7 linked regions of the Canis lupus familiaris genome follow. The protein of the gene in region 6 interacts with the protein of the main gene of each other region in a biochemical or structural test. Links are inferred from orthologs where the notes say so. Each region holds a gene or a part of one and is shown on either strand. Other genes may lie near its edges. The genes, in order: CASKIN1, ATP2B4, SDC2, F11R, CNTNAP2, CASK and PRKN.

Region 1 (3,500 bases), on a different chromosome or scaffold from region 6:
TTAGGGTGGCCTAATGGCCGTTGGGGTCAGCCCTGTGGGGTCAGCCCCGTGGGGGTCACTTCCACAGATGCTGGGCCAGGGGCTGACACCGCAGTTGGGAGGCGGGGCCTGGGAATGCCCGTCCACTGGGGAGGAGCGTGGCTGCCACCCGCTGCCACCGCCGCCTTCCTTCCAGACTCCTCCTCCAGGCTGGCATTGACATTAACCGCCAGACCAAGTCCGGCACAGCCCTGCACGAAGCCGCGCTCTGTGGGAAGACGGAAGTGGTCCGGCTCCTGCTGGACGTGAGTCAGGGGCCGTGGGAGCTGGGGCGGGGGCGCGGAGCAGGGGGTCTCCTGACAGGCCACACCGTCTGGCACCTACAGAACGGGATTAATGCCCATGTGAGGAACACCTACAGCCAGACGGCCCTGGACATCGTGCACCAGTTCACCACGTCCCAGGCCAGCAAGGAGATCAAGCAACTGCTGCGAGGTGGGCCAGGGGGCGGGGCGGGGAGGCCGGGGAAGGCGTGGGGGCTGGGGGGTCTGGGCCCGGCGGCTGGCAGGACTGGGGGGGTCTCCCTCCTGTGTCCCCAGAGGCCTCGGCGGCTCTGCAGGTCCGGGCGACCAAGGATTACTGCAACAATTACGACCTGACCAGCCTCAACGTGAAAGCTGGGGACATCATCACGGTAAGGCCAGCCTGGGGAGGGCAGGGGGATGGGGGGGCCCAGGTGCTCACCCCGCAGCCCCCCATGTGGCTACTGGGAAGCCCGGGGGTCTGGACGGGAGGCCCGGGTCACACACACACACACACACACACACACACACACCCTCCCCAACCTGGAGGGGCGTCTCCCTGAGCTCGCCCCGACGCCTCGGGCCAGGTCCTGGAGCAGCACCCCGACGGCCGCTGGAAGGGCTGTATCCACGACAACCGGACCGGCCACGACCGTGTGGGCTACTTCCCGTCCTCCCTGGGCGAGGCCATTGTGAAGCGAGCAGGCAAGTCCCCCCCCACCCCACGGGCCTCGGCTTGGGCGCCAGAAGGAAGCACGTGGCCATGTGTGGTGGGTGGCAGGGCCATTGCTGGGCGTGGGGTCCAGAGTGGGCTCCTGCCGGCCGGCTCGTCAGCCTCCCCACACCTATTCCTTCAATTATTCAATAGACGTCATGCATCAGCCGCTAGGAATCGATGGTGACCCAAGAATGATGGACCTCATTCTTGCTCTCAAGCTCACCCCTAGGGACAGTGGGGAGAATGGCAGTGAAGTAAATACAAAAATGTGCCAACTAATGCTAAAGAGAATGTGCACAGAGGCCTGCTTTTTACTTATTTTTATTAGTTTTAGGAGTAAAATGCAGTGATTCATCAGGTGTACAGAGGCCTGCCTTCTAGACAGGGTGGTCAGAAAAAGCACTGGGGCAGGGAGGCTGGCCCGGACAGAGCATCCAGTCAGCGGGAACCACATGTGCAAAGGCCCTGGGGCAGAACAGGGCATACGATGTCAAGGGCCTGAAGAAGACCCACACAGCACAGCTGGCACAGTGTGAGGAGCAGGAAAGGCGTGCGGCCGGGCCACAGGGGGGTTGGTGAGATGGGTTACCTCCTAGAGATGACGTGGACGTCGACAGGTGAGGGGAGGGGACAGAGGGAGCCCGTCAGGAGGCATGGGAAGCCCACCCAGGGTCATCTAGGCTTCTGGGGGCCTCTCCCCTGGCAGAAAGGAGGTGCACCTCCTGCCCTCCCCATGCCCCACCCAGGACCACAGTGTCGCCACGGTGTCCTGCTCTCACGTGCAGAGGGCGGGGAGGGGTCTTCTGAGGCTCTTGCCACTGCCTGGAGACAGCCGGGGCCAGAGGAGGCTGCAGCGTCAACGTGAGGGGCCCCTGCTCTGTCCAGGCTCTGGGGCCAGGCCAAGGATGCCCCCTCGCCACGTGGGGGCCCCAGGCCTGGCCAGCCCGGGGTTCAGGGCAGCCGTGCTGTCCCACAGGTTCTCGAGCAGGCGCCGAAGAAAGCCCACCCCAGGCGGGCAGCTCCTCGGGGCCCTCCGCGCCCCCCGAGGAGATCTGGGTGCTGAGGAAGCCTTTTGCAGGTAGGTTTTGACCTCTGGAGGTCAGGGCGGCAGTGCTTCTATGAGGGAGCACCCCGCGCGGGGAGAGCCAGCAGCGGCTCAGGGTGCTCCCTGTGTTGGCAGGCGGGGACCGCAGCGGCAGTCTGAGTGGTGCGGCGGGTGCAAGAAGCGGCGGGGGCCATGCCCTGCACGCAGGCTCCGAAGGGGTCAAGGTAGGTGGTCTGGGGAGCAGGGCCGGGGTGGCTGGGCGCCGAGCAGCGCCGGCCAGCGTGCCTGTCTGGGTTGTAGCTCCTGGCAACGGTGCTCTCACAGAAGTCGGTCTCCGAGTCCAGCCTCGGGGACAGCCCTGTCAAGCCTCCAGAGGGCTCCACAGGTAAGGGCAAGGCTGCCACAGCCCTGGTCTGGCGGGGAGCGCCCCCCTCCCAAGCACCCCTGCCCCAGCACACCGTCTGTCTCCAGGTGCGGCCCGGTCCCAGCCTCCAGCGGCCCACGCGGGGCAGGTGTACGGGGAGCAGCCGCCCCGGAAGCTGGAGCCGGCCTCGGAGGGCAAGGTACCGGGCCGCGCTGGCCGCGGGGAGGGGCTCCCGGGCAGCCTGCTTGGGGCGCGGGCAGCGGGGGGCCCTGACAGGCCAGGCCATACTTCTGTCCGTTTGTCAGTCTGTGCGTGTAGGTGTTGTCTCTTGTGTGGGTTGTGCGTGTGAGCTGGTGCGAACGGCAAGTGTGACGTGGGCGTGAGGTGAGCAGGGGACGTGCCTGTGTGTGGGCGGTGACTGCGAGCCGGGCACGTGCGCGCGTGTGCTGTGCGTAGGAGGCGTGCGTGTGAGGCCAGGCCGGCCACGTGTGGGGCTGAGAGGGGCCCGTTGTGGGCACGGCGCGGGCGGCTGGCTGCTTCTCCTGCGCACCTCTGGACGGAGCCCACCTGCCCCGGCTGGGGGGCGGGGGCTGCTCCGTGCGGCGCAGCAGAGGCCACGTTCCCGAGCCCCTGGTGCAGGTGTCCCCGGTGAGGGAACAGGGGGGCTGGTCAGGGGAGCCTGTGACACAGCCGACAGCAGCTGGACCCTTCCGGCGGAGACCACAGGAGGCGGTCGCAGCGCCGACGGAGCTCGCCACGCCGGCAGTGGGGACCGCAGAGCGAGGAGGCACACGGGGGCCAGGCTGTCCCAGGCCCGGCCGCGGGGGCACCAGCAGATGGCAGACCGAGCAGCTGAGCGGAGGAGGAGCCGGCATAGCGGCCCGGGTGCACGGCTGGCAGGCCAGCGGGCAGGCGAGCCTGCAGCGGGTCCCTTGTGTCTTCCAGAGCGCCGAGGCCGTGAGCCAGTGGCTTGCCACGTTCCAGCTGCAGCTCTACGCCTCCAACTTCATCAGCGCCGGCTACGACCTGCCCACCATCAGCCGCATGACCCCGGAGGTGAGCTGCCCGGAGGCTGGCGGCCCGCGGTGGCCG
Region 2 (3,500 bases), on a different chromosome or scaffold from region 6:
CTGAAGTCCTGAACGGTGAGGGTCAGAGTCATCCATGAGGGTTGGAATCAACTTCTTCCAAACTGCTATTAGTGTTGCTATTTTGGCCCCTTCCCATAAATCATGAACGTTCTTTATGGCATTTAGGCTGGTGAGTCCTTTCCAGAAGGTTTCCAATTGACTTTGCCCAGATCCATCGGAGGAATCTCTATCTCTGGCAGCTATAGCCTTACCAAAATGTATTTCTTAAATAAGAAGTCTTAACGCCCTGATTCATATGCTGCAGAATGAGTGCTGTGTTAGCAGGCATGAAAACAATGTGAATCTCATTGGACAGCTCCATCAAAGCTCTTGGGTGATCAGGTGCATTGTCAGCGAGCAGTCATATTTTGAAAGGAATCTTTTTTCTGAGCAGTAGCTCTCAGTGGTGGGCTTAAAATATTCAGTAAATCATATTATAAACAGATGTGCTGTCATCCAGACTTTCTTGTTCCATTTATAGAGCACAGACAGAGTAGATTCAACATGATTCTAAAGGGCCCTGGGATTTTCAGAATGATAAATGAGCATTGGCTTCCATTTAAAGTCACCAGCTACATGAGCCCCTAACAAGCAAGTCAGCCTTTCCTGTGGAACTCTGAAGCCGGGCACTGACTTCTCTCCAGCTGTCAAAGTCCTGGATGCCATCTTCTTCCAGTATGAGGCTGTTTGATCTACACTGAAAATCTGTTATTTAGTGTAGCCACGTTCATTAATGATCCCAGCCAGACCTTCTGAATCACTTGCTATAGCTTCTACATCAGCACCTGCTGCTCCACCTTACACTCTGATGTCATAGAGACAGCTTCTTTCCTTAAACCTCACGACACAGTCTCTGCTGTTTCAAACTTTTTCTGCAGAGTCTTCATCTCCCCCAGCCTTCCTAGGATTGTGGAGAGTTAGGGACCTGCTCTGGATTAGGCTTTGGCTGAAGGGAATGTTGTGGCTGGTTTCATCTTCTATCCAGAGCACTCGAACTTGCTCCATTCAGCAATAAGGCTGTTTGGTTTTATGGGAGAAATGCTTTTCATTTCCTTCAAGAACGTTTCCTTTGCATTCAGAGCTTGGCTATTGGGAGCAAAGAGGCCTAGCTTTCAGCCTCTCTTGGCTTTTGACTCACCTTCATCACCAAGCTTAATCATTACTAGCTTTTGGTTTAAAGTGAGACATGTGAGACTCTTCCTTTCACTTGAGCACTTAGAGGCTATTGCAGGGGCATTAATGGCATAACTCCAGTAGTGTTGTCTCTCAGGGGAGGGGAGGCCTGGGGAGAGGAGGAGAGAACGGGAAAGAGCCAGGCAGTGGAGCAGTCAGAACACATATGACATTATCAATTAAGTTTGCCATCTTATATGCATGTGACTCGCAATGTCCCCAGACAATTACAATAGTAGCATCACAGATCACCGTAACAAATACAATAATAATGAAAAAGTTTAAAATATTGCAAAACTTACCAAAAGGTGGCACAGAGACATGAAGTGAGCAAATGCTTTTAGAAAATTGGTGTCATTAGCGTTCGATTCAGGGTCGCCACAAACCTTCAATTTGTTAATAAATAAATAAATAAACAAACAATGCCTGCAAAGTGCAATAAAGCAAAGTGTCATTAAACAAGGTTTGCCTGTATGTAAAATACCAGGCACATAGCAAGTACTAACAAATGTTAGTTCTATGTTCCTTTTTCCTTCTCATGCTCAACTCCACTTATAGGAAGTTGAGTAACTTCATCAAGTAGCTAGACTGTTCATGGGTCATTATAGGCTGACCGACATAGGTACAGGGCCAGTAGCTATAGAATTAACCAGGCCTTTATTTGGCTTTAGCCACCGTCTTTCAACCAACCCATTCCTGTGGAGCACACCCTATGCACTGAGCACCATTCTAGTACTATTCACGTACCTGGAATTTAAAATGTCTCTCCACCTTTGAGAAGTTCAAAAGAGGGGGTAATCCACAAATGACTCTTGGCATCACATTCACATATGAGTAGGAACAGACAACATGGGAGAATCATACCTTTGGCTTCCCTAGACCTGATCCATCTACAAATCACCCCACCTTGGGAAAAGGGACTCGGCTGGATGATGAACAGAGATTTCTTACCCAAGAATGCTGTCTTTACGAGTAATGCAGGATTGCCAGAATGTCTGCAAATGAGTGTAGAGACATCTGGGGTGGGAAAGGGTTGCTGCTTCCTGACTGTGTGCCTCCCCAGGTGTAATCGAATCCTGGACAAGAGAGGGGAAGTGGTTCCATTCAAGAATAAGGACCGCGATGAGATGGTCCGCACTGTCATCGAGCCCATGGCCTCTCAGGGACTCCGAACTCTCTGCATCGCTTACCGGGATTTCAATGATGGCGAGCCCCCATGGGACAATGAGAGTGAAATCCTCACTGAACTGACGTGTATCGCAGTGGTGGGCATTGAGGACCCTGTGCGCCCAGAGGTGAGGCTTTGGCTTGGCAAAAGGGTAGGAGAACATGAATGGAAGTCTTCCAACAGCCTCTGGCCCACATGCCAGCCGAGCATGATGTAGGGGGTAGTCCCCCCATAGAAGGGAACGGAGGTACTAGTTCCATGTTTAGCTGTGACCCCAGGCACGTTACCCAACAGCTTCTCATGTACAGGGATAGATGTTTCTGTGCCTTCTGCTTCCCAAACCACTGTGGAGTGCTGAGCTGATAGAAGCTGGCATTCTGACAGTGAATGCTGTCTGAGGGGTGAGAAACATAGGTTGTATTGAGCTTATTATTGGGTACCTAAGAACAGTCAGAGTTAACTGGGACACCAACTTTGCCTCTAGCCACCTTCTTTCAATCAACATATTCTTATTGACTGCCCCTAGAATAGCTGAACAGTAATCTAGAAACTAAGGCGTTGAAAAGGTCTCTGCTTATAATAAGTTCAGACTAGTGGACTTTTAGTTGTCAAGGCCCAAGGGCATAGGAGACTATAAAGAATGGATTGGTTGGAGTATGGGCCAGGGAAGTGGAGAATGCTAAAAAGGGAGATGGTGGCCAGATCCCAATGAGGTATGGATGTGCCCTGCTAAGAAGTCTAGATTGTAGGGAGAGTACACTTCCACACCTGGCTCCTCAAGCAGATTTTCTCTTCAACTCATGCTACAGTAAGGCAAGTTCAAATGTAGTATTATGAATAGGGCAGAAGTCGGGTGGCACCAAACAATATAAAAATGACCAGACCTAGCCTCTGCCACATGGCACTGCTCCTAAGTGCCTCTCTCCTGTCCACAATGAAGGGACCCTTCACCACCCCCACCTCCTCCTTTCCTCTCACCTTACTCTCCATAGGTACCTGAAGCTATTGCCAAATGCAAACGAGCTGGCATTACTGTCAGAATGGTGACAGGTGACAACATCAATACAGCCCGGGCCATTGCCACCAAATGTGGCATTGTGACACCTGGGGATGACTTCCTGTGCTTAGAAGGCAAAGAATTCAACCGACTTATCCGCAA
Region 3 (4,231 bases), on a different chromosome or scaffold from region 6:
GGACACCCCGAGCTCATGCTGCATGGACAGGCCGGCCACTCCAGGCAGAGGACGCACCTCAAGGCCAAGGTGCTCCCTGAGACAACAGGTGCAGACGTCGAGCCTGCCTGGGTGACATGCGGGCATCACTGCGCGTGGACTCCACCCGTTGACTCACTCACCTCCAGTCACAGTGAGGACATGGAGGCTTGGACTTGGCGGCCCGCTCAGGGGCAAGGCCTCTCAGAACACGGCGACGGGCGGGACTGGCACCCAAAGCCCAGCCGGTGTGTGACCCAGCCGCGTGGCCACCTGCAGAGCACGGACACCGCCTCCCCCCACAGCAGGTGCGAGGGTGCGTCCGTCTCCTCGCCCCTTGGGGAACTCAACAGCCCTCCCACGCACGACCACCTCACCCGTTTCTCATTGCACTACCTGAAAGAGTCTAGAAACGTGTTCACACCTGGACATGTGTGCACTTTGCCTTCTAGATGCTTTAGGATAATGTTCAATGAAATAATTCCCTGCATTAACCTGTAGGTGATGCCAGTATTAATGCTATTTTATGCAGAGAAATATCAGTATGTTCTATTCTTCTTTGAGAGGTTTTAAGATACCCAGCTCTACTGAGCATGGAAAGGTAATTCAAGAATCAAAACATTATTTTTTAATAGATCTTTTCCCTCACAAATCTAAATAATTTTTAAAAGTAATTTTTAGAGTGGTTGGTCTTGATTTAAGAGCGTCCTTTACCTACGTATGCCTTATAAAGCCCTGGAGGGTGAGGATGTCACTGTACTCAGAGTGAAGACAGTCACAGTCAAAGCTGCCTCGTCTTCATCTCTGTCTTTGTCTGGGATCGTTTGTTGACCAGGAACAGAAGCCCTCTTATACCACCTAAGGAAAAATAAAAATTTTACCCTAAGGACACTAAACTATCTCAAGATCCTAAAGGAATAAGTTTGATTTGGGTCTCACAAGAGCCAGAAAAAAGAATAGAAAGAAAAAAGAAAAGTCAGGACCCTCCACTATGCGGGCAACACGTGTCCCCTATGTCTACCTGTGTGTTTACCTGCTTGTCCTTGCCCTTGTACATCCATCGTCGAGGACACACGAGGACCCTCGGCAGTCTGGGGTGACTGGGAGTCATCCAAACGCGCAGCTGGGTTCGACCCCGAGCTCCTCGGCTGAGACGATCGGAAGGGTGCATCTAAGTGGTGGGCACTAATAAATCGCCTCGCCCCCCGCACGACCTGGTCCGCGTAACTGCCGGAGCAGGTGAGGGACTGTGGCACCAAGGGCAGGGCGTCGGGGTGGCAGTCACAGCGGTAGCACCGTCGTCCCTAACGTCGGCCCGGACTGTGTCTCCCCGTCCCACGGGACCTGCACAAAGGCGGTGCCAGCACCTTGAAGATACCTTTGTGGACCCTTCCTATGCTCATGTACCCGAGGATGGCTCGTAGGTCGATGTTTGATGCCCCCAAACGAGGTAGCCTGCAAACAACGGTTTCCTTAAAATCTCCATTTCTGACTTTAGGATGACATTTGACACGGAACCTTAATCACCGACGTGCGACTTGAGGACGAGCGGCTCTTCATCTAACAATTAGCCAACTTCCCCGACAAAGGAGCGATGGAGGTGAATGGAGAGAAAGGTCAAAAGACGGAGGCTAAAACTAGGTGTTAGCTGTTGTTGGGCTGGGCTTGCCTGTAGATTTTGGTCACGGCTCCGCGCACTGGCCCTGAGGAGCGTGGGTAATTGAGAGTTGGCTGGCTGGATTTCCTCGTATTCCCAGGTTCTATCATCTTTCAAGTGAATTTAGTCAGGGCTGATCCGACTAAATAGATTTCTAGCCTGAACCGCTGGTACCATTCCAGGGAATGCCAAGTGAAGGCCAGTCGGAAACACCGAGGCGGCATCTTTGTCCCCCTGCGGTTCCCTCTCTGACAGCTCACCTCGGGCCACAGCACCTGCTAGTCCCGGCGATCATGCGACGTCACTAAGGACCCTGGTGACAAGGTCCAGGGTGTCGGCTTAGGTTAAAAATATGTCTCTAGTACCTGTCGTCTCTGTTTTTCTCGGGTGTTCTGTGCCTTTTAATTCACCGCCCCCCCTTCTTACACGCCTGCTCTCTGATCTCTGTCTCTATATTCTGTTCCTCTTCTCTATCTTCTTCTGAGATTCCTGAGGTAGGTTGTTTATTCTTTCAGCAATCAGTGAGCGGTTGGGCAATGATTGATTTTGCCATTTTACCTGTGGTGCCCCCTAAAGCACAGCCCTCGAACGGAGGACCTGAAAGCACACTGGGGGGAACCCTTGCCTTTAATCGCTTCCTGCTTTCCGTGTGTGAGATATACATGCGCCACACAACTCCATAGAGTTTTATTCAGTCAAAAAAAGTTGCAGTTAGCAAAACACAGCAACAGGCTGCTGTAGACGGAATGTTTGTGCCTCTGGATCCCCCTCCCCAGACTCCCTCCTATACATAGGTTGAAATCCTAATCTCCAAGGTGATGGTGTCGGGTAGTGGGGCCTTTGGAAGGTGGTTAGGCCAGTAGAGTAGAGGCCTCATGGATGGCACTGGGGTTCTTATCAAAGGGGCTCCAGAGGACGCGGTCACCCCCTCCCTCACCCTGTGAGGACACAGCAAAGAGAGCCCTCCAGGAACCAAGAAGCCCGCTCTCACCAAATATGCCAGTGCCTTGATCTGGGACTTCTCAGCTTCCGGAACTGTGAGAAATGAATTTTTCTTGTTCAGAAGCCAGTCTATGATATTTTCCTTAGAGCAACCCAAAGACACAGACCTTCCTCATTTACGACTTTAGAAATGTCCCTAACAGCAGCAGACATCCTTGTCCCTTACCACCCTCCTCTACCCCCCGCCCCCAGCATAGGCAGGTCTTTAGTAACCCCGTCTTGCGTACGTGCTTTTACCATCTGCGTCTTTTATACGTCCAGATTATCCTTCTGGTCACACCTTCTGACTCTCAAATGCATTTGGACACAAGATTTGAATATTTCTTTGTTATCAAATACCTGATATTATGTGACTCTCAAAATGGCACCATCCCCTTATTATCCGTACTCTCAATGTTGCATAAACCTCAAGAGGCTCATATGCACCAAGAGCTTTGGGGGTGCATGTTCCTTGAACAGATGCACGGGCTTATTTCCTTTGATCGCTGTCTGCCCACGCTGAGGCAGGGAGCGGCCACCATGGTCCTCCTTAGGGAGATGCCCCAACAGACAGCAGTAACCTGGAGAGCCAGCAGGTGAGTGCGTTTCCCCCTTTCACTGGGGTTCTGATCTATTTGATGTTTCTAACCGTTGGGGAGAAAGGAGGTGCAGCCTTGCCCCAGGCCTGAAAAGCAGACTAGCTCTCTTGGCGGTAGAGGCAACAGTTGAGGCTCTTTGCATTTCTCTCACACTGTTCATTTTCCTTTGGAAACTCCTTTTCGAAGTCCCTCTCTCCTCCATCTCATGCAATTCTTTAAGCCACAAAGAATCCATCTTAAAAATAAGGCTGTAGTTCATCCTTCCAAAAACCAAGGTAGACCCACGCTGACCCACAGTTGCCAGCCCAGTTTCTGTGGAATTAGGAGCGTCCGATGATACAACTTCCAGTTCTCCTGACTTCCTCTCTCTCTTTCTCCTTTGCCCACTTTTCTGCTTCTCCACATTTCCTCTTGGACTATCAGCACGTTCGACTTGCCCGTGGGGAGCTTGGCGGATGGCACTCAGCATGGAAGAGCTGATGCCTCTGACTTTGAGCTGTAACTTCCCAGTTCTCTAAATTTCTTTCTTTGAGATTTATTGCAGTGAACGGCCACTGAGACACTGTGATTCTCAGAGTAGGCTCTATTTTATTCTAAGTTCAAAAATTACCATGGCCTAGTATCTATCTATCTATATCTATGTTTCTCACAGTTTCACAACTCTCATGCACTATAGACTGAGTTTTAGACCAAAACTTATCTAATAAATATTTATTGTGTGTCTTTATGTACCAGGAATGAGAATACAGTGGTAGAAAAGACAGAAAGGTCCCTGGTCTCCTGGAATGGGCATTTTAGGAGCAGAATAGTTGCACATTTGACTTATTCCGGAAGCCAGAGAGGAAAAGATTCTAACAGGCGGAAGAACGTATTTGCGGTGTTCTGTAGGATGCGTGCCATAGACACCGAATTGAAAAACAGTTTCCATCACAAAATATTTCAGATTAATTACTTCCATTCAGGAAATACATGCTTC
Region 4 (3,500 bases), on a different chromosome or scaffold from region 6:
ATCTGTTACTACGTTTGGTTATAAACTTGGCGTTAAAATATAATGCCAAATATATAGATACACCGTAATACTATTAGGAATGATTCACAGATAAATGGACCTGACCTTTAAAAGAATGACATTTATTACATAGTCTGCCCCCATTAAGTCATGGCTTTTCTGAGAAACAGTGTGACTTATTAAAAAGCCCTGGGTGGCTCAGTCAGTTAAGGGTCAGACTCTTTTGGTTTCTTGGTTTCAGCTCAGGTCATGATCTCAGGGTTGTGGGATTGAGCCCTGCATCAGGCTTCCAGCTGCTTGTCGGATTCTGCTTGTTCTTCTTCTTCTGCTGCTTCCCTCTGCCTCTCTCTTTCTCATACATAAATTTAGAAAATTAATACGTAAAATCTTAAAAAAAAAAAATAGGGATACCTGGGTGGCTCAGTGGCTGACCATCTGCCTTTGGTCCAGGGCGTGATCCTGGAGTCCTGGGATCGAGTCCCATATCAGGCTCCCTGCATGGAGCCTGCTTCTGCCTGTGTCTGCCTCTCTCTCTGTGTCTATCATGAATAAATAAATAAAATCTTTAAAAAATAATAATAATAAATAAAAATAATAAAATAAAATAAAGATAAAAAAGGAAAAAAGAGAGTGTGAGGGAACCTGTGTGCTAATCTGAGCTCTGCCATTTTGTAGCTATGAAAACACGGGCCAGCCCTGTAACTTTTTAGACATTTAATTTTCTCATATGTAAAGTGGGAGAAAGAATACGTATCTACATTAATTTACCACGTTGTGTCAAGTTGATACAAATAACTTTTTTTTTTTTTTTTAAAGATTCATTTATTGGAGAGAAAGAGCACAGATGGGGAGGGGAGGGGTGAGAGAGAGAGAGAGAGAGAATCTGAAGCAGAGTCCCCACTGAGCGAGGAGCCTGGCTCGGGGTTCCATCTGTCAACCCACAAGGTCACAACCTGTCAGGTGCTTAACTGACCGAGCCATCCGGGCGCCCCTGTATCTTTAAACATTGAGGCCAAAACAAAAACAACAAAAACCGTAAAGGACTTTACAGAACATCTAGTTCAAACCTTGCGTGTTTCAAGTGAGAAAAGGGAGGCCTACAGGCCCCTGGGTGGCTCAGCGTCTGCCTTGGGCTCAGGGAGTCACCCCGGGGTCCAGGGATCGAGTCCCACATCAGGTTCCCTGCAGGGAGCCTGCTTCTCCCTGTGTCTCTCATGAATAAATAAATAAAATCTTAAAAAAAAAAAAAATAGAAAGAAAAGAAAAGGGAGGCCTAGCGGTCACATGACCGAGCCCAGCTCCGCGAGTTCTTACCTAAAGACGTGCTTGCGCTTAGCAGACGTGCAGGCGTTTGCCCAAGGAAGACGGGCCTCCTGGAAGCAGCGAGAAAGCTCGCTTGGTGGACTTGAGCTGGGAAAACATGAACGGGGGTGATGATGGTGCGAGTGCAGGTGGGGGCAGAGCCTGGCTCCCCGGGTCCCGGTCATCCTGGAGCGTGGGCCCCTCCTGCCAGCTCCCTTGCAGCTCCCCGGCGCCTCTGCACCCCAGCACCCACCGCCTCCCCGGCTCCTTCTCCGCAGGGGGAGGGGGGACGTCCTCGGGAGGGGACCCAGCCCCATTGGGTCCTGACCCCATCTCGGACGGCTCTGATCTTAGGCATGAGCCTTTACTCCTCATGCACTTGGTTCCTCGTGTAAAACTGGGATAATGACACTCGTCCTGCTGATCTGTCGCGCTTGTTTCAGGGATCAAACGACATAATGGACGTGAAAACACTTTAGAAAGCACAAAACGCCCTACAAATGTCAAGTGTTATTATTATCCTCGTTACTGCTCTTCCCCTGCCTCCCCTCCTGCCTCGTGGCCTCCAGCCTCCCTCTCTGGCCTCCAGCCTTGCTGGCTTCCTGCCAGGAGTGCCTGACAAGTGGTTGCAATTAATTACTTGTTGAGAAGCTTTCTCTGAACCATGAAATGTCATTTGGGGAGCTGTTCTTGGACTCGGATTAGATTATTGGGAGTTGAAGAGGGAAACACTGAAAAGATGAAAGAACTACATTGGAAAGAAATGTTTTGTTGTCATTGATAATGGAAGTATTGGCCTGCAATGGTGACAAAAAGCATTTAAAGAAACTTTTTTTAAAAGATTTTATGTATTTATTCATGAGAGACAGAGAGAGGCAGAGACTCAGGCAGAGGGAGAAGCAGGCTCCTCGCAGGGAGCCCGATGCGGGACTCGATCCCAGGACCCCAGGGTCACGTCCTGAGCCAAAGGCGGGTGCTCAACCGCTGAGCCGCCTGGGCGTCCCCAGAAACTCTTCAGGACATCGGCGAGGGGGTGTGAGACCAGAGGAGCTCGGGTGTCCCGGGTCCCTTCACCGGGGAGAAGCCTTGGGCGCGGCCCAGCTCACGGGCAGCCCCCTTCTGATGGGCTCCTCCTCCTCAGGCTCCCTGGCGTTGGGCAGGGGTGCTGTGTACACTTCGGAACCTGAAGTCAGAGTCGCTGAGAACAAACGTGAGTCCGGGCGGCTGTGGAAGGGGGAGGCCGGGGCGGGCGGGAGCAGGTGCAGGCCCCCGGGGACTGCATCCAGCGCAGACTGAAGTTGGGGACCAATTTCCCCTTTCCCGTTTGCTGCTGCTCCTTCCTCCCGTTGACATTTGTGTCCTCTGCAGCCGCCAAGTTGTCCTGCTCCTACTCTGGCTTCTCCTCTCCCCGCGTGGAGTGGAAGTTTGCCCAGGGGGACATCACCAGCCTCGTTTGCTATAACAACAAGATCACGGGTGAGTTCCCCCCACTTCCTTCCTGACGGCCTCGGTGGTGGAGGGTTGATGGGCCTGGATTCCTGGGGAGAGGTGCCCCCTGGGGCCCAGGTCCCGGCGCCTCTCCTGCCACCACCGCCAGCTTCTCTGCGCTCTCCAGCTCATCCAGCTCATCCAGCCCCTCCTTCCTTTCCTGCCAGCTTCCTATGAGGACCGAGTTACCTTCTCGCACAGTGGCATCACTTTCCACTCCGTGACCCGTAAGGACACGGGGATGTATACTTGTATGGTCTCTGATGAAGGTGGCAACACCTATGGGGAGGTCACCGTCAAGCTCATTGTGCTTGGTATGTGCCACCCTTTTTCTGTATGGTCTTGGAGTTCGTGGCGTCCCTAACCCCTTCCTGGCTCTGCAAAGCTTTGGAGCTCGTCGATGGCGAGAATGCCCCCGGGTGGGGGGAATTCAGAGTCACGGTGCCAGGAGGGAGGGGATGAATGAGCCCCTGGGGTGGGGGAAGCTGAGGGCATGGTAAGGAACGGAGGCCAGAGCTGATGGATGGGGGTGTCGGCAGTGTAGCCTCTAGGCAGCGCTCCTGACCTTGTGCTCGGCCCCTCCTGTCCCTTCACAGTACCTCCATCCAAGCCCACGGTCAACATCCCCTCCTCTGCCACCATCGGGAATCGGGCAGTGCTGACCTGCTCGGAGAAAGATGGCTCTCCCCCTTCTGAGTTCTACTGGTTCA
Region 5 (4,045 bases), on a different chromosome or scaffold from region 6:
AGCGTCTTTCCAGTATGTTCAAATAAGTGCAACTCCCTAAGAGAAAAATATACTCTTTACATATGCGTCCTGTATCTGCACATTTGCAAGAAGAGAGGTGGTATGATTCCATCAGCTCAGCAGCAGCTCATCTGCACTGTCAAGCAATTAGATTCTATTTCTCCTTAATCCTAGAAATGAGCTTTTTAAATTTATTTTAGTCCAGCTATAGAAAACATAGTATTAGCAGTAACACCATTTTTATATGTATTTCAATAATAGAGAAAAAGAAATAAGCCAGAAGCAAATATATATTTAAAATGGTACTGTTGCCAAATGAAAAATATTAACTGCATTTTCTAGAAACGTCCATCATGTTAAAAAGTTATCAAGGGACAGAAAGTTTTAGCACTGTCATATTTTTAAAAATGAGTAGCAAATAAAAACATTACGTTTGGATTTTCATGCTACTTTTTGTCTTGTGATGACCTCTCCTGGTTGAGTTGTTCATTATCTTAGATTCATGTAGTTACCGATTTTTTTCTCCTTTGAGCGTTTTCAGTATTAAGAATATAACTCTCCCTCTTTCTCAGAGTTGTATAAATATAAATACAAATTGTCATTAAGTGTCAAATTATAATTTAAAGTACTGAATTTGTGAAGCTCACTCTAGTCAACAAAGTCCACATCATTCTTATCATTTAATTGATTTCCAGGATGCGGGGCAACTTTGGGTTTTAGTCAGACAATTTAAATTCAAAGGAAACAAAAAGTCATCTCAATTAAGCCATTTTACATATTTAAACAATAAAGAATAAGAGCAAGAGCTAATAAATACATCTTAATCAGACATAAGTGTCAACTACCTTAAAAGTAATACTCTCTGCTCTTCCCCAACATCTAATTCTAACTAAGTTGTAAAAGCTAGGAATATATCTCGGCAACAACTTTTCTATTCTTAAAAAACATTAACCCCGTGGCTGCATGTGTGCCATTCATTCTTGATACATGGCAAATGTTTCAGAGGGATCCATCACATTAATGTATACATAAAGATGCAATATAAAACTCAGGAAAAATCCTGGATATGAGAGCCATTAATCAGTGAATATAATTAATTTATAATCGATTTAATTTCTGAAAAAAAGCGGCAGTTAGTTCTATATGACCAGATCTTGAAATGGAAATCGAAATTTCATCAGATTACTTTTCTCCGGATGTAGTCACATATTTACATAATATTAATACTGAGCACTGTCTTCAAAATTTGTTTAAATATATAAAACCGGAATACATATGTTAATAATGTATCACTTATTTGAGGTTCAGTCCGTTTGTGAAAAAGCTACAAAAATGTTTTTCAAGTCCATTACACACTGCCACTTAGTGACTTCCTATACTGCAAGAAAAGAGAAGCAAATACAATACTTGGGAAAACATGTCAAAACTGCAATAGCGGTTCATCACATGACATTATTGTGGGGTAGATTCTTTAGCACAACTTATCAAGTCCTTTTTCAACGGTTATTCTTATTAATATGTATACCCCGGAACAAGAACATTAATATTAATGTATAGATAAAGATGCATCAATGCATCCCAAGACCTCATCAGCGGAGATAGGACCACACATACAATGAATTCTGGAAAACACTAAACTTTTTTTTTTTTCTAAATGGAAAACACTTCAAACTAAAATCTCCATCGTTATTCTTTAATAAGTAGCTCATTCTCACAGACCAGCACTATGTGCCTGAGATTCCCACGGGCAAGCTCTCTAGGGTTTAACTCTTTCTGAATCAAAGGAGCGATCATGCGTCTCCTCTCTAGATGCACAGGATGCACTTCTGAAGCAACTCAGAAGATGGGCTGGAATCTTCTATTCCTTTCTACTCTTGCTAACCGCATGAAAACATGAGCAACCTTTTCTTTAAAAAGAAAAGGGGGGGGGGGGAGCCTGCTGGAACACAAAGACTTGAATATATTGAACAGCATCCTTTCCCCGAGAACTCTTTAGGGATGCCTTCATGACTACATCCATTCCCCACGGCCTGTTTGCCCTGCCTGCCCCGAGTCCTAGGCTGTGTCACCCCCAAAGTGCCAAAAATCAAAGCAATTTCAGCCAGCACGCTGCATTCACTGTCTTCCCCTTCCAAGAAGCAAGTACTAAGTGGTCATTAACTTTTTGGGGGTGGGCGGGTAAGGGAAGTCCGCGGTGCCCCAACTGCTCCAAATGGTCTCCTCTTGCACCCCCACCCCCGCAACCCGTGCGTCTTGAAGTCAAAACCATATGCAAAAACAAGAAACTTTTTTTTTTTTTTTTTTTTTGCCCCAGCCTTCACTTTCTTGCAGCGACCTACCCGAGCCCAAAGCCCCGAACTCCCTCCAACAACAAACACCCCGAAGTGGAGGAGTAACTCCTAAGAAGCTGTCGCCCGGCCTCGTCACTCCAACCAAGCAGTTGCCAACCCCCCCTTGCACGGCCGGGGACAACTTTCCAGAAGCATCAGCAGCCTCCAGAGCCCTCGCGCCACCGCCCCCCCCCCCCATCCATCCATCCCCGCCCTGCAAGCCCCCCAGCGCCCCGGGGCGCCCCGGGCTTCGGAGCTCCCTGCGGCAGCGGCTGCGAGACGCCGGCGCACGCAGGTGGCGGGCCCGGGAGGACCCCGACGCGGCCCCGGGCGGGCTGGGCGCTCGCGGAGGCTACTTACGGGACGCGGCCGGGGCGGTCCAGGCTCTGCAGAGGATGCTGCCGACGATCCAGAGCGGCAGCGCCGCCCCGCAGCCGGCTCGCGGGCCCGCCGGCATCCTCGGCGGCCGGCGCGCGGCACTCGGGGAGCTCGCTGGGCTCGCTGCGGAGGCGCCGGCCGTGCCCCCGGGGGCTGCTCCGGGCGCTGCTCCGGGGCGGGGCGGGCGACGGCAGGGCCCCTCCCGCGGCGTCCTCTTCCCCCCGCGCCCCTGCAGGCTCCAGCTCGGCCCGGGCCGGGAGCCCGGGGAGGCGCAGGCTGCCTCTTGCCTCCGCGCGGCTGCTGCCTCTCGCTCCGGGAGCCAGTGAAATGCCAGGGGGAAGAAATTCAAACCGCGAAGGGAAGGGAGGGGGAGCGGAGGAGGGGACCTACCCCGCCCTCCCTCCCTCTCTCTCTTGCAGGAGAGAAAAAAATAAAAAATAAAAAATCAGCATAGGACGCGGAGGCAGAGCAGAGGAGCTGGGGATGATGCAGCGGCGCAGGGCGGGCGGGCGGGTCTGAGGGGCTTCCCGGCGCCCCGGGCTCGCGCTCGGCACTCGGCGCTCGGGAGCCGGTGCGCGGGGGGCACGCAGCCCCGCGGGCGGGAGGGGGGAGGCGCAGGGAGGAGGGACGGAGGGCGCACGCTCGGCCTCAGCGCGGCGGCATCGCCCCGGCGCCCGGGCAGCGCAGCAGCGGCCGGAGACGGAGCTGCACACCGAGCTGCAGACGGATCTGCAGACGGAGCTGGAGAGCGAGCTGCACACCGAGCTGCACACCGAGCTGCACACCGAATTGCACACCGAGCTGCAGACGGAGCTGGAGACCGAGCTGCACACCGAGCTGCACACCGAGCTGCAGACAGAGCTGCAGACCGAGCTGGAGACGCCGCCGCCAGCAGCGCCTGCACAGCCGGGCGGCGGGCGAGGCGGGGAAGCCCTCCCTCCTCGCCCCCTCCAAGTCCCCACCCCGGCTCCTCCTCCTCCTCCCCCTCCTCCTCCTCCTCGCCGTACCCCTCCGGCTGTCACCACCCCTCTGCCCTGCGCTCGCGAGCGGGAGCCAGAAGGCACCCACGGGCCCGCGTCCGTGCGCCGGGGCGGGGGGGGGGGGGGCGCCGAGCCAGGGGGCGCGCGCCTTGCCCCGGGCGGGGGGCGGTGCTGAAGTTGGGAATTTGCGGGGTGATCTTGGAGCCCGGCTCCAACCCCGGCCGCCCTCTCCTCACCCCCACCCCCACCCAGCTGCGGGGAAACCGAACCCCTGGGCTCGGAGGCCTGCTCTTTCCCTCCTCCCCTCCCCTGCAGAGGGAGATGGTACAGGCTCCCGGAGCTCGGCCTGCCCCCCGG
Region 6 (3,500 bases):
ATCTGTGACTCAGGGCCAGCTGTGATTATGGGGCCCCTGGTCCGTCAAGAACTACAGTCCCTCACAGGAAAATAAAGACATTTCTCCTTTCAAAAAAAAAAAAAGAAGAAATAAAAAAGAAAAAAAAGAAAAAGAAAAACTTTCTTTCTTTCTTCTTTCTTTCTTTCTTTCTTTCTTTCTTTCTTTCTTTCTTTCTTTCTTTCTTTCTTTCTTTCTTTCTTTTAAAAAAAAACAATTTTCTTAAAGTTTGGACTGCAAAGCAGTGCCAGATGGAAGGCTGCCTGCCACTTCCTCTATCCGGGTCTATGAGTCTCCGCATTAAATGATGGCATCTGAAGTTCTTATCAGCTCTGACAATCTAAACGTAAGAACGTTTTTGGAAACAAAGGATAGCTAACAGAGGCAATCACGCAAAGGAAATTCACTGAGAAATCCCTTTAGTGAGAAAAACCATTATCAACCATTATCAACATTGGTGGACTCGGAGCCTCTGGCGTCTGTTAGCTAGGTTCCAGTATTTGGGGATAGACTGCCCCAATGTCTAATGGTTGCTGTTTTGGGTTGTGTGAAACAACCTCAGATAGAGTCATCTCCTTGCTAGATCTCTCACACATTGCCAAAGTACCAGCCACAGCAAAATCACCAGCATCTTTCAAAACAGAGTTCAAGTAAGTGAATTGTAACAACAGCATTTGGATTTCACCAAAATAGATAGTAATATATAGTAATTTGGGACTCCTTTTCTCACAGTTCAAAATGGTGTTGAAAAGCTATCTGACTTTAACCTGTTTTCACTGCTTAAACTTTCCAACAAAGTAAGTGTTTTTAAAGGCTTGGCAAGGTAAAGAATGAAGCTTCTGGCTGCTCTTTTTTTTTTCCCAAAGGCAAAACCCATTTTTACCTTCAAATATCCTGAGTGACCCTGAATCATGGCCTTTGAGCTTTTGCCTGCTGGGGTGGGGGTGGGGGGTAGAATGAGAATGGGGAGACCATGCTAACGGGTAAGGAGAGGGTTTGTTTTAAAACCAAACCAAACAGGGGCATCTGGGTGGCTCTGTCAGTTAAGCATCTGCCTTCAGTTCAGGTCCTGATCCCAGGATGCTGGGATTGAGCCCTGCATTGGGCTCCCTGCTCACCTGCTCAGTGGGGAGTCTGCTTCTCCCTCTCCCTCTGCTACTCCCACTGCTTTATCTCAAATAAATAAATAAAATCTGTAAACAACAAAACAACAAAACAAAACAAAACATGGTTCTAAAAGGATTGAAGCAGCATGTGGGAGTGGGGGGCTCTAAGGCAGCATGAGGTGACTGGGACCATGACTTGAGGCTAGCCGCTCAACCTCTCTCTCTCTTGACTTTCCTCTCCCCTTCTATGTAAAACCAAGACTTGACTCTAAGCAGGAATTTACTAGATGTTGAGGATTTAGAGTTCTTGGATGACTAATCTGAACTTTAGCTAGTGGAGGCAAATAGGTTTTACACAACAGAATAGAAGGTTGTCAAAAAGGATGGTCAGGGCTTTGTTTTTATTGTCAAGCAAAATGGAAGGAATAACAACATACCATTCCTGGAGCTCAGGAGAAGGAATGAGACCTGCGGTTCCATTTTTGGAGTTTTCCAGTTTACCCTGCCACCAGTTGTGATCATCCTTACTAATAATCTGGATAATGTCGCCAACTCTGAATCGAATGCCAGCTTCTTTGCAGGGGATGAGGTCATCCTTGGCCGGATCATATTCAAATTGTGCTCTTACATAGATCTATAAAACAGGAGTTTGTAAGAAGGGCTGCCTCGGCGATGTGAAAGCAAACAGCTCTAACCTAATAACCACACACCAACACTTACAATACAAACAGGACATTAGATGGTGAAGCCAAATGACGCATGGAGATAGGACACAGAATTGCTACCACTAGAAATGATGGGATACCTTTGATGTGTATAGATTCATACCTTTGCTGTTTTTATTTGGAGGGAACACTTAACAATTCTTGTTTAATAAAGATCAAGACTTAGCTTCTGCTTTTACTGTAACAGAATAGGTCTCTAATCATAGAGACGCACGCTTACCATTTTTAAATCTGCATATATTTAGCTGATGTTATGGGCAAGTTGTCATGATCATGTGGCAGCTTTGTCACCATATACACAAACATTCAGGGAAAGTTTTAACCCTGAAGCAGCATGTGGTACAAAAGTAGCAAGCACTCTGTGTTGGCATCTTGCTTTAGTTAAAATGCCTACATGACAACTGGCAGCATGTCTACACACTGTCGATAAACTTAAATGTAATTTAAACAGTTTTTAAAGCATTTAAAAAATCATGTTATTAGGTATGTAAGAAGGATTTAGGTTTTGTATTTGTATTTTACTCTTCTTAAAGAAAAAGGACATTGAATCCAAGCTTTGCCACTTGAAAGCAGCACAGAGCTTCAAGATATGCAGAATTCAAAGCTCTGAGTTTCAGGATATGTCAATGTAATTAGTAGATATTATAAAAGGAAACAGATTAGTCTACAAGGGGTTATCATATGGCAGCATTTTAAGAAATGCTAGATATCTAATGCTGCATCACTTATGCGGTCTTAAAAATAAACTACAGGGTGAATTCTCTCAGATGCCAATTTGTGCACACCTTAAGGCCAAATTGGATTATTTCTGGACACCAAATTCCAAGAAAATTCCCATAAAATTCTATCTCTTGAAATTATATTTGAATATTAATGTTTCAGTCACTGTAAAACCAACCTGAAGGCTTTGGAACTATTGTGTGATTATTCTGTTCAAGTTTTCTTATCAGAAATCCAGCCTATAAAATTAACATGTCTCTGCCTTTGCACCTGAAATCCATACTCTTAAAGTGCTGGCAAACTGGAAGCTGCTTGCTTGTGGCAGGCAGCACTTCACTTTCCCCATGTGACCCAAAAGAGGCATATTGGGATGGAAAGCCAGGATGTTCCGAGTTTTCATTGTAAATGGCTTTTAGATTTACACATGCAAAAACAAATTAGGAAAAAGCCTTGAGATTTTAGAAAATTACTGCTTAAACATGTTCATCAGCACGTAGATTTTAGTTATTCTTAGAATTCTAGGAATTTTGTTACCTTTAACAATTTTTTTCCCCAACTTCAGAGGCAGGCCTGTAAGACCCCCTTAAAGGCTGAATTCTTAACCATCAACACAAGTTTATCAGGTTGAAATTACAATAACCATCACAGCTACAAAGATGTAAAGAAAAAAATCCTTATAGAAAATTAGTCACGTGTAATGTGTTAAAATGAAATGGTACAAGCTCTCAATGCTTAAATGTTATGGTCCAAAATGCAGACATTATGGGATGGAAAGGGTTAATAAAGGATTGGCTATTAGCAGCTCAGTTTAGAGAAGTTTCTATAGAGGGTATCTATTCACCTGTCGTCCTTTTGGTTGGGTAGTTGATGGCAAGTCCTGTAGAATAAAGCCAACCCAGGAGAAAAATTTTCATTTACTTTTCAAGAGTAC
Region 7 (3,935 bases), on a different chromosome or scaffold from region 6:
ATAGACCTTCCTGTTACATTGCCTATCCGAACTCTAACAAGCTGATATTATTTTGTAAGAAAGAGGCTTGTTAGGGTCAACGCAGGGATGCTCTAAAATTCCTTCGTTTGAACTGATGAGAGTTCCTAACTGTAGACGATTTAACGAGTTTATGGTTCCAGGTGTACATCAGCACATGTCAAATTCTGCAAGAGCTTATGATCTCTAAGAACTCGCCTTCTAGAATGACCTTTGCTGAGTGGGGCTCGATTAGGAATCGATACGTAAAGAGGCTCTTTAAAAAAAAAAATCGTGTCAATAGTTTTAAGAGTACCTTGGCGTGGTCTAGAAACCATGAGTTAGGAGGAAGGTGCTTGTCAGTGGGTAAGAGTGCCTCACGTGCCCAGGATCCTTCCTGACACCCCAGCCAGGACCTCCTCACCCTGCTGGGCGCCGTCTGCAGAGGCGCCCCCCTCGGTGCCGCAGACCCCCCAGGACACGGATTCAGGATCCATCCCAGGCCGGCCAGCAGCTATCGCCTGCTGTCCCCTGATCGGAGCGAGTGCATATTCAATGCAGGGTCACTTACGACTGAGTTTTTCATCATGGCTTTGACTGTGAAGCCCTCAGAAACCAGGGAGTGAGGCTGGTGCACCGGGAGCGGCTGTTGCGCCAGCAGCTTGGTCCTCTTCGGCATCTTGTCTGGGCATTTGTTTAAGCTCAGGGTCTCTTTTTCTGCCACCATCTTCCTAGAAAATGTCTCGTTCTCATAAAACGTGTAGTAAAAGAATCAGTGGGTTTTACGCATGTGAGAAGGAGTTCGGGGGGGAAAAAATGTAAAAAGGCGCGTTACTGGTAGAAATTCAACCCCTCGTAGTGCCCAGGTTGATCCAGATGTTTGGCAGCTCCTAGGTGAGGGGAGTTGACGGAGGGGAGGGGCGGGAGGAGGGAAGGACCGTGGCGAGAGCCCTAAGAAGCTTCCAAAGGTAAGCCTCCCGGTTGCTAAGCGACGCGTCAACACTGCGGCCCCGTGGCCCAGTCCCCCCGTGACGTAGCACGCTTGCTGGGCCTGAATGCGGAGAGGCGGCGGAAGGCGGCGGGCGGAAGGCGGGCGGCGGCGGGCGGAAGGCCCACGGCAGGCCGACGGCGGGCGGGGAGGGGGCGGCGCGATGGGAGAAACTACGCTGTCAAACTACGACTCCCAGAAGGCCCCTGGCTGCGCGTCGTCCGCGCGTGCGCATTCCGACAGCCGGCCCCAGGGAGGCAGGTGCTGGAAGATTTAACCCCGGAGCCACATTTGTGGGAGGCGCGGGCGGGCGCCGGTGCGGGCGTAGCCCCCTGCGTGCCCAGCAGCCTCCACCTGCCTAGTGACCATGATAGGTACGTGAGTACCTGCCAGGTACAGCCTCTCTGCGCCTCCTCGCCGGGCCTCGGCGGACAGGGACGCCCCCGCCCCCAGGGTGTCGGCCGGTGTCAACTGTCAGTGTCGGGACGGCCGTGTCCGCCGGCCCTCGGCCCGCGCTGCGCGCTTCCCGGTGCCCGCCGTGGGCCGGGGGAATACGTGTGTGTGAGCTCAGCCCCCGCCCAGCCCGTGCTCGGACAGCTTCCCCGGGGACCCCGGCGTGCGCGCCTGCGCCTCCCGAGGTGGAGGCTGCGGCGCGCGTTCCCACGGCGAGCGCCGCGCCGCGCCCCGCCCCGCCCCGCCCCGCCCCGCCGGACTCGGGGGTCGGTTCGCAGGCCCCTCACGTGCACCTCCGGCCCCGCCCCTCGGGGGCTGCCTCCCGGCTAGGGACGGATGGGACCCGCCGCCTGTAGGACTCTTTCCGGGGAAACCCTATACCGAAGCTTTCAGCTCTAGCGGAAGGCACCTGCCGGGATGGTTAGGATTCAGAGACATTCCTGCAGAGGAACTTAAACCTCTCGCTCCCTCGATTTTTCCTTGTAAATCTCTCCTTGTAGGTCTGAGATGAAAGAATCTAGAGTAAAGAATAACAAGGATTAAATATTGGCATAATGAATTATTAGTTGACACAAAATGACCTGGGTGCATATTTATGATGAAAGCTTTGGAAATGGTTTGTGGTAATTGTTTATAAACACTGTGACAAAAGTTTCCTCCCCCTCCCCGTCCTCCCCGTCCTCCCCGTCCTCCTCGCCGTCCTCCTCCTCTTCCTCCTCCTCCTCCTCTTCCCTCTCCCCCTCCTCCTCCCCCCTCCTCCTCCCCCCCCTCCTCCTCCTCTTCGCGGTAATCTTTGAAATGAGTGGAAATACACAGTATGATTAGAAACCAGTGTTATTTGGGGCGTTTATTATGACAGAGACTTACTTTAGATTGTGTATGGAAGATTTGGTGACCCTATTTGGAGATTATTCCTGATGAGTACCACTTAAAAAACAATTTTGATTGCATCGAGTGCATCTGAAGTCAGAAATGGTCAGTCCAGAAAGATGAGAAGTGGATTTTTAAAATACGTAAGTTTGTATGCACTGATAGAGTCTTAAGTCTTTTATTTAGGAAAATTAATGTTAAAGCGTAAAACATTCTACCCAGAGGGAGAATCATGCCAGTGATTAACTGATGCTGTCTTTGCAGCAATGATAAAACCTAGGGATGTTGTCCAATTTTTCTCACCTTTCTAGCACGGTATGACTTTTGGTGAATGACTTTTGAAAGTCATCCAATGAAGACATTTTTCTTATAAATGAATGTTTTATATAAACTTTATGAATCTTTTGAACCCAACTTTTACATATAATCCACTATAAACGGCTCTGAGTGGAATCAGAAAAACTAATAGAAGAAATTTTTAAAAATCCATGATGTCAGCATTTTACAGAAAAAATTATGTTTTATTTGAAGACAATTATAAAATTTTATTTTAATTCAACTTAATTTAGTGCATGCATGCTCTTAAAAGAAGCAAGTTTATAGCAAAGCTATATAAAGATAGGGACTTAAGATCTAAAAATCACAATTCTAAATTGTTATCTGATAAATGACTATATAAGAACTTTAAAAAAAAAGAACTTTGGTAGGATGAACTATGTTTAGGGAATTTAGTTTATTTGGGACTTAGGGACATAAGACAGAAGAGTATGATCTTTGGATTTGATGATTAGACAGTTATTAGTAACTTGTAATTACATGGAGAATATAAGGTAGATTTTAAAAGGTGTTTTTTCTTATACTCCAGTTGTTGTTTTACATAGTGCAAATAAATGTGTATTACAACATAAGTACAACATGCCCCATCCCAAGAAAGGTACTTTACATATAAAAACCATGTGGACAATGTGCAGTACATTATTTTATACAAGTAATTGCAATGCCTAATTCTATTGGTGGGCACTTTTTGATAAAAATCTTAATTGCCAATTTTGGACTTGTATTGGTGAAGAGAGTGTGTGGAAAGGTAGGTGAAAGTGGAGGCAATTAAAAAGGAAAGGTAGGTGAAAGTGGAGGCAATTAAAAAGTGATGGGTTTCCTGTTTGTGAATAAACCTCAGAGCCAGGAAAGGCATTATTGTTTATACCTAGTAATAGGCTGGAGATAAAAATATACCTCAGTATATATCTGGGTTTGTTTTTTTTTTTCCTGTTAAAGACATTGTGCTACTCAGAACTTGCCTGTTTTATGCTTGTGCTCTCTTTAATTGCTACACCCTCTTTAATGCAAATAGTACTCTTCCATTTTACAAAAATCTTGGCTTACTTTTGAGGAAAAACAACAATAGGAGTAAAGGGGATTGATTGTTACCCCACTACGAGTAGAATTAACCTTCCTTTTTTGTTCTTAAAACCTAGGATTCCTTCTTGGTACAGAGACTGCCTCAAAAGTACTTATATTTCTCACTTGAATTATGACTGATACGTTAAATGCCTGGCCCAGACAGTCATAGAAACATAGTTTAATTAATTATGACTTTGAGAAGTATGGAGTAGGACATCAGGGTATC

What was found.
Region 1: the proteins of CASK (region 6) and CASKIN1 interact in a biophysical measurement, tested with the Homo sapiens proteins (2 studies listed by IntAct, with this or other methods). The link is inferred for Canis lupus familiaris from reciprocal best matches to the Homo sapiens genes CASK and CASKIN1.
Region 2: the proteins of CASK (region 6) and ATP2B4 form a complex in vitro, tested with the Homo sapiens proteins (2 studies listed by BioGRID and IntAct, with this or other methods). The link is inferred for Canis lupus familiaris from reciprocal best matches to the Homo sapiens genes CASK and ATP2B4.
Region 3: the proteins of CASK (region 6) and SDC2 form a complex in vitro, tested with the Homo sapiens proteins (2 studies listed by BioGRID and IntAct, with this or other methods). The link is inferred for Canis lupus familiaris from reciprocal best matches to the Homo sapiens genes CASK and SDC2.
Region 4: the proteins of CASK (region 6) and F11R form a complex in vitro, tested with the Homo sapiens proteins (2 studies listed by BioGRID and IntAct, with this or other methods). The link is inferred for Canis lupus familiaris from reciprocal best matches to the Homo sapiens genes CASK and F11R.
Region 5: the proteins of CASK (region 6) and CNTNAP2 form a complex in vitro, tested with the Homo sapiens proteins (2 studies listed by BioGRID and IntAct, with this or other methods). The link is inferred for Canis lupus familiaris from reciprocal best matches to the Homo sapiens genes CASK and CNTNAP2.
Region 7: the proteins of CASK (region 6) and PRKN form a complex in vitro, tested with the Homo sapiens proteins (2 studies listed by BioGRID and IntAct, with this or other methods). The link is inferred for Canis lupus familiaris from reciprocal best matches to the Homo sapiens genes CASK and PRKN.

What each region holds. Positions count from the first base shown.
Region 1 is NC_049227.1:39,222,516-39,226,015, forward strand, and holds part of CASKIN1 (caskin-1), read left to right. Parts: intron 1-175; coding exon 176-284; intron 285-365; coding exon 366-474; intron 475-578; coding exon 579-673; intron 674-868; coding exon 869-986; intron 987-1,975; coding exon 1,976-2,077; intron 2,078-2,179; coding exon 2,180-2,268; intron 2,269-2,344; coding exon 2,345-2,429; intron 2,430-2,515; coding exon 2,516-2,607; intron 2,608-3,353; coding exon 3,354-3,464; intron 3,465-3,500.
Region 2 is NC_049259.1:987,639-991,138, forward strand, and holds part of ATP2B4 (plasma membrane calcium-transporting ATPase 4), read left to right. Parts: intron 1-2,236; coding exon 2,237-2,468; intron 2,469-3,333; coding exon 3,334-3,500. UniProt on the Homo sapiens protein: Calcium/calmodulin-regulated and magnesium-dependent enzyme that catalyzes the hydrolysis of ATP coupled with the transport of calcium out of the cell. By regulating sperm cell calcium homeostasis, may play a role in sperm motility.
Region 3 is NC_049250.1:41,599,317-41,603,547, forward strand, and holds the start of SDC2 (syndecan-2), read left to right. Parts: upstream 1-1,431; coding exon 1,432-1,468; intron 1,469-4,231. UniProt on the Homo sapiens protein: Cell surface proteoglycan which regulates dendritic arbor morphogenesis.
Region 4 is NC_049259.1:22,278,259-22,281,758, forward strand, and holds part of F11R (junctional adhesion molecule A), read left to right. Parts: intron 1-2,443; coding exon 2,444-2,512; intron 2,513-2,670; coding exon 2,671-2,778; intron 2,779-2,957; coding exon 2,958-3,104; intron 3,105-3,386; coding exon 3,387-3,500. UniProt on the Homo sapiens protein: Seems to play a role in epithelial tight junction formation. Appears early in primordial forms of cell junctions and recruits PARD3.
Region 5 is NC_049237.1:3,928,193-3,932,237, forward strand, and holds the start of CNTNAP2 (contactin-associated protein-like 2), read right to left. Parts: upstream 2,801-4,045; 5' UTR 2,788-2,800; coding exon 2,691-2,787; intron 1-2,690. UniProt on the Homo sapiens protein: Required for gap junction formation. Required, with CNTNAP1, for radial and longitudinal organization of myelinated axons.
Region 6 is NC_049260.1:36,111,905-36,115,404, forward strand, and holds part of CASK (peripheral plasma membrane protein CASK), read right to left. Parts: intron 3,447-3,500; coding exon 3,411-3,446; intron 1,759-3,410; coding exon 1,562-1,758; intron 1-1,561. UniProt on the Homo sapiens protein: Multidomain scaffolding Mg(2+)-independent protein kinase that catalyzes the phosphotransfer from ATP to proteins such as NRXN1, and plays a role in synaptic transmembrane protein anchoring and ion channel trafficking.
Region 7 is NC_049222.1:51,748,775-51,752,709, reverse strand, and holds the start of PRKN (E3 ubiquitin-protein ligase parkin), read left to right. Parts: upstream 1-1,135; 5' UTR 1,136-1,352; coding exon 1,353-1,359; intron 1,360-3,935. Other genes in the region: PACRG (parkin coregulated gene protein), read right to left, coding at 569-724. UniProt on the Homo sapiens protein: Functions within a multiprotein E3 ubiquitin ligase complex, catalyzing the covalent attachment of ubiquitin moieties onto substrate proteins. Substrates include SYT11 and VDAC1.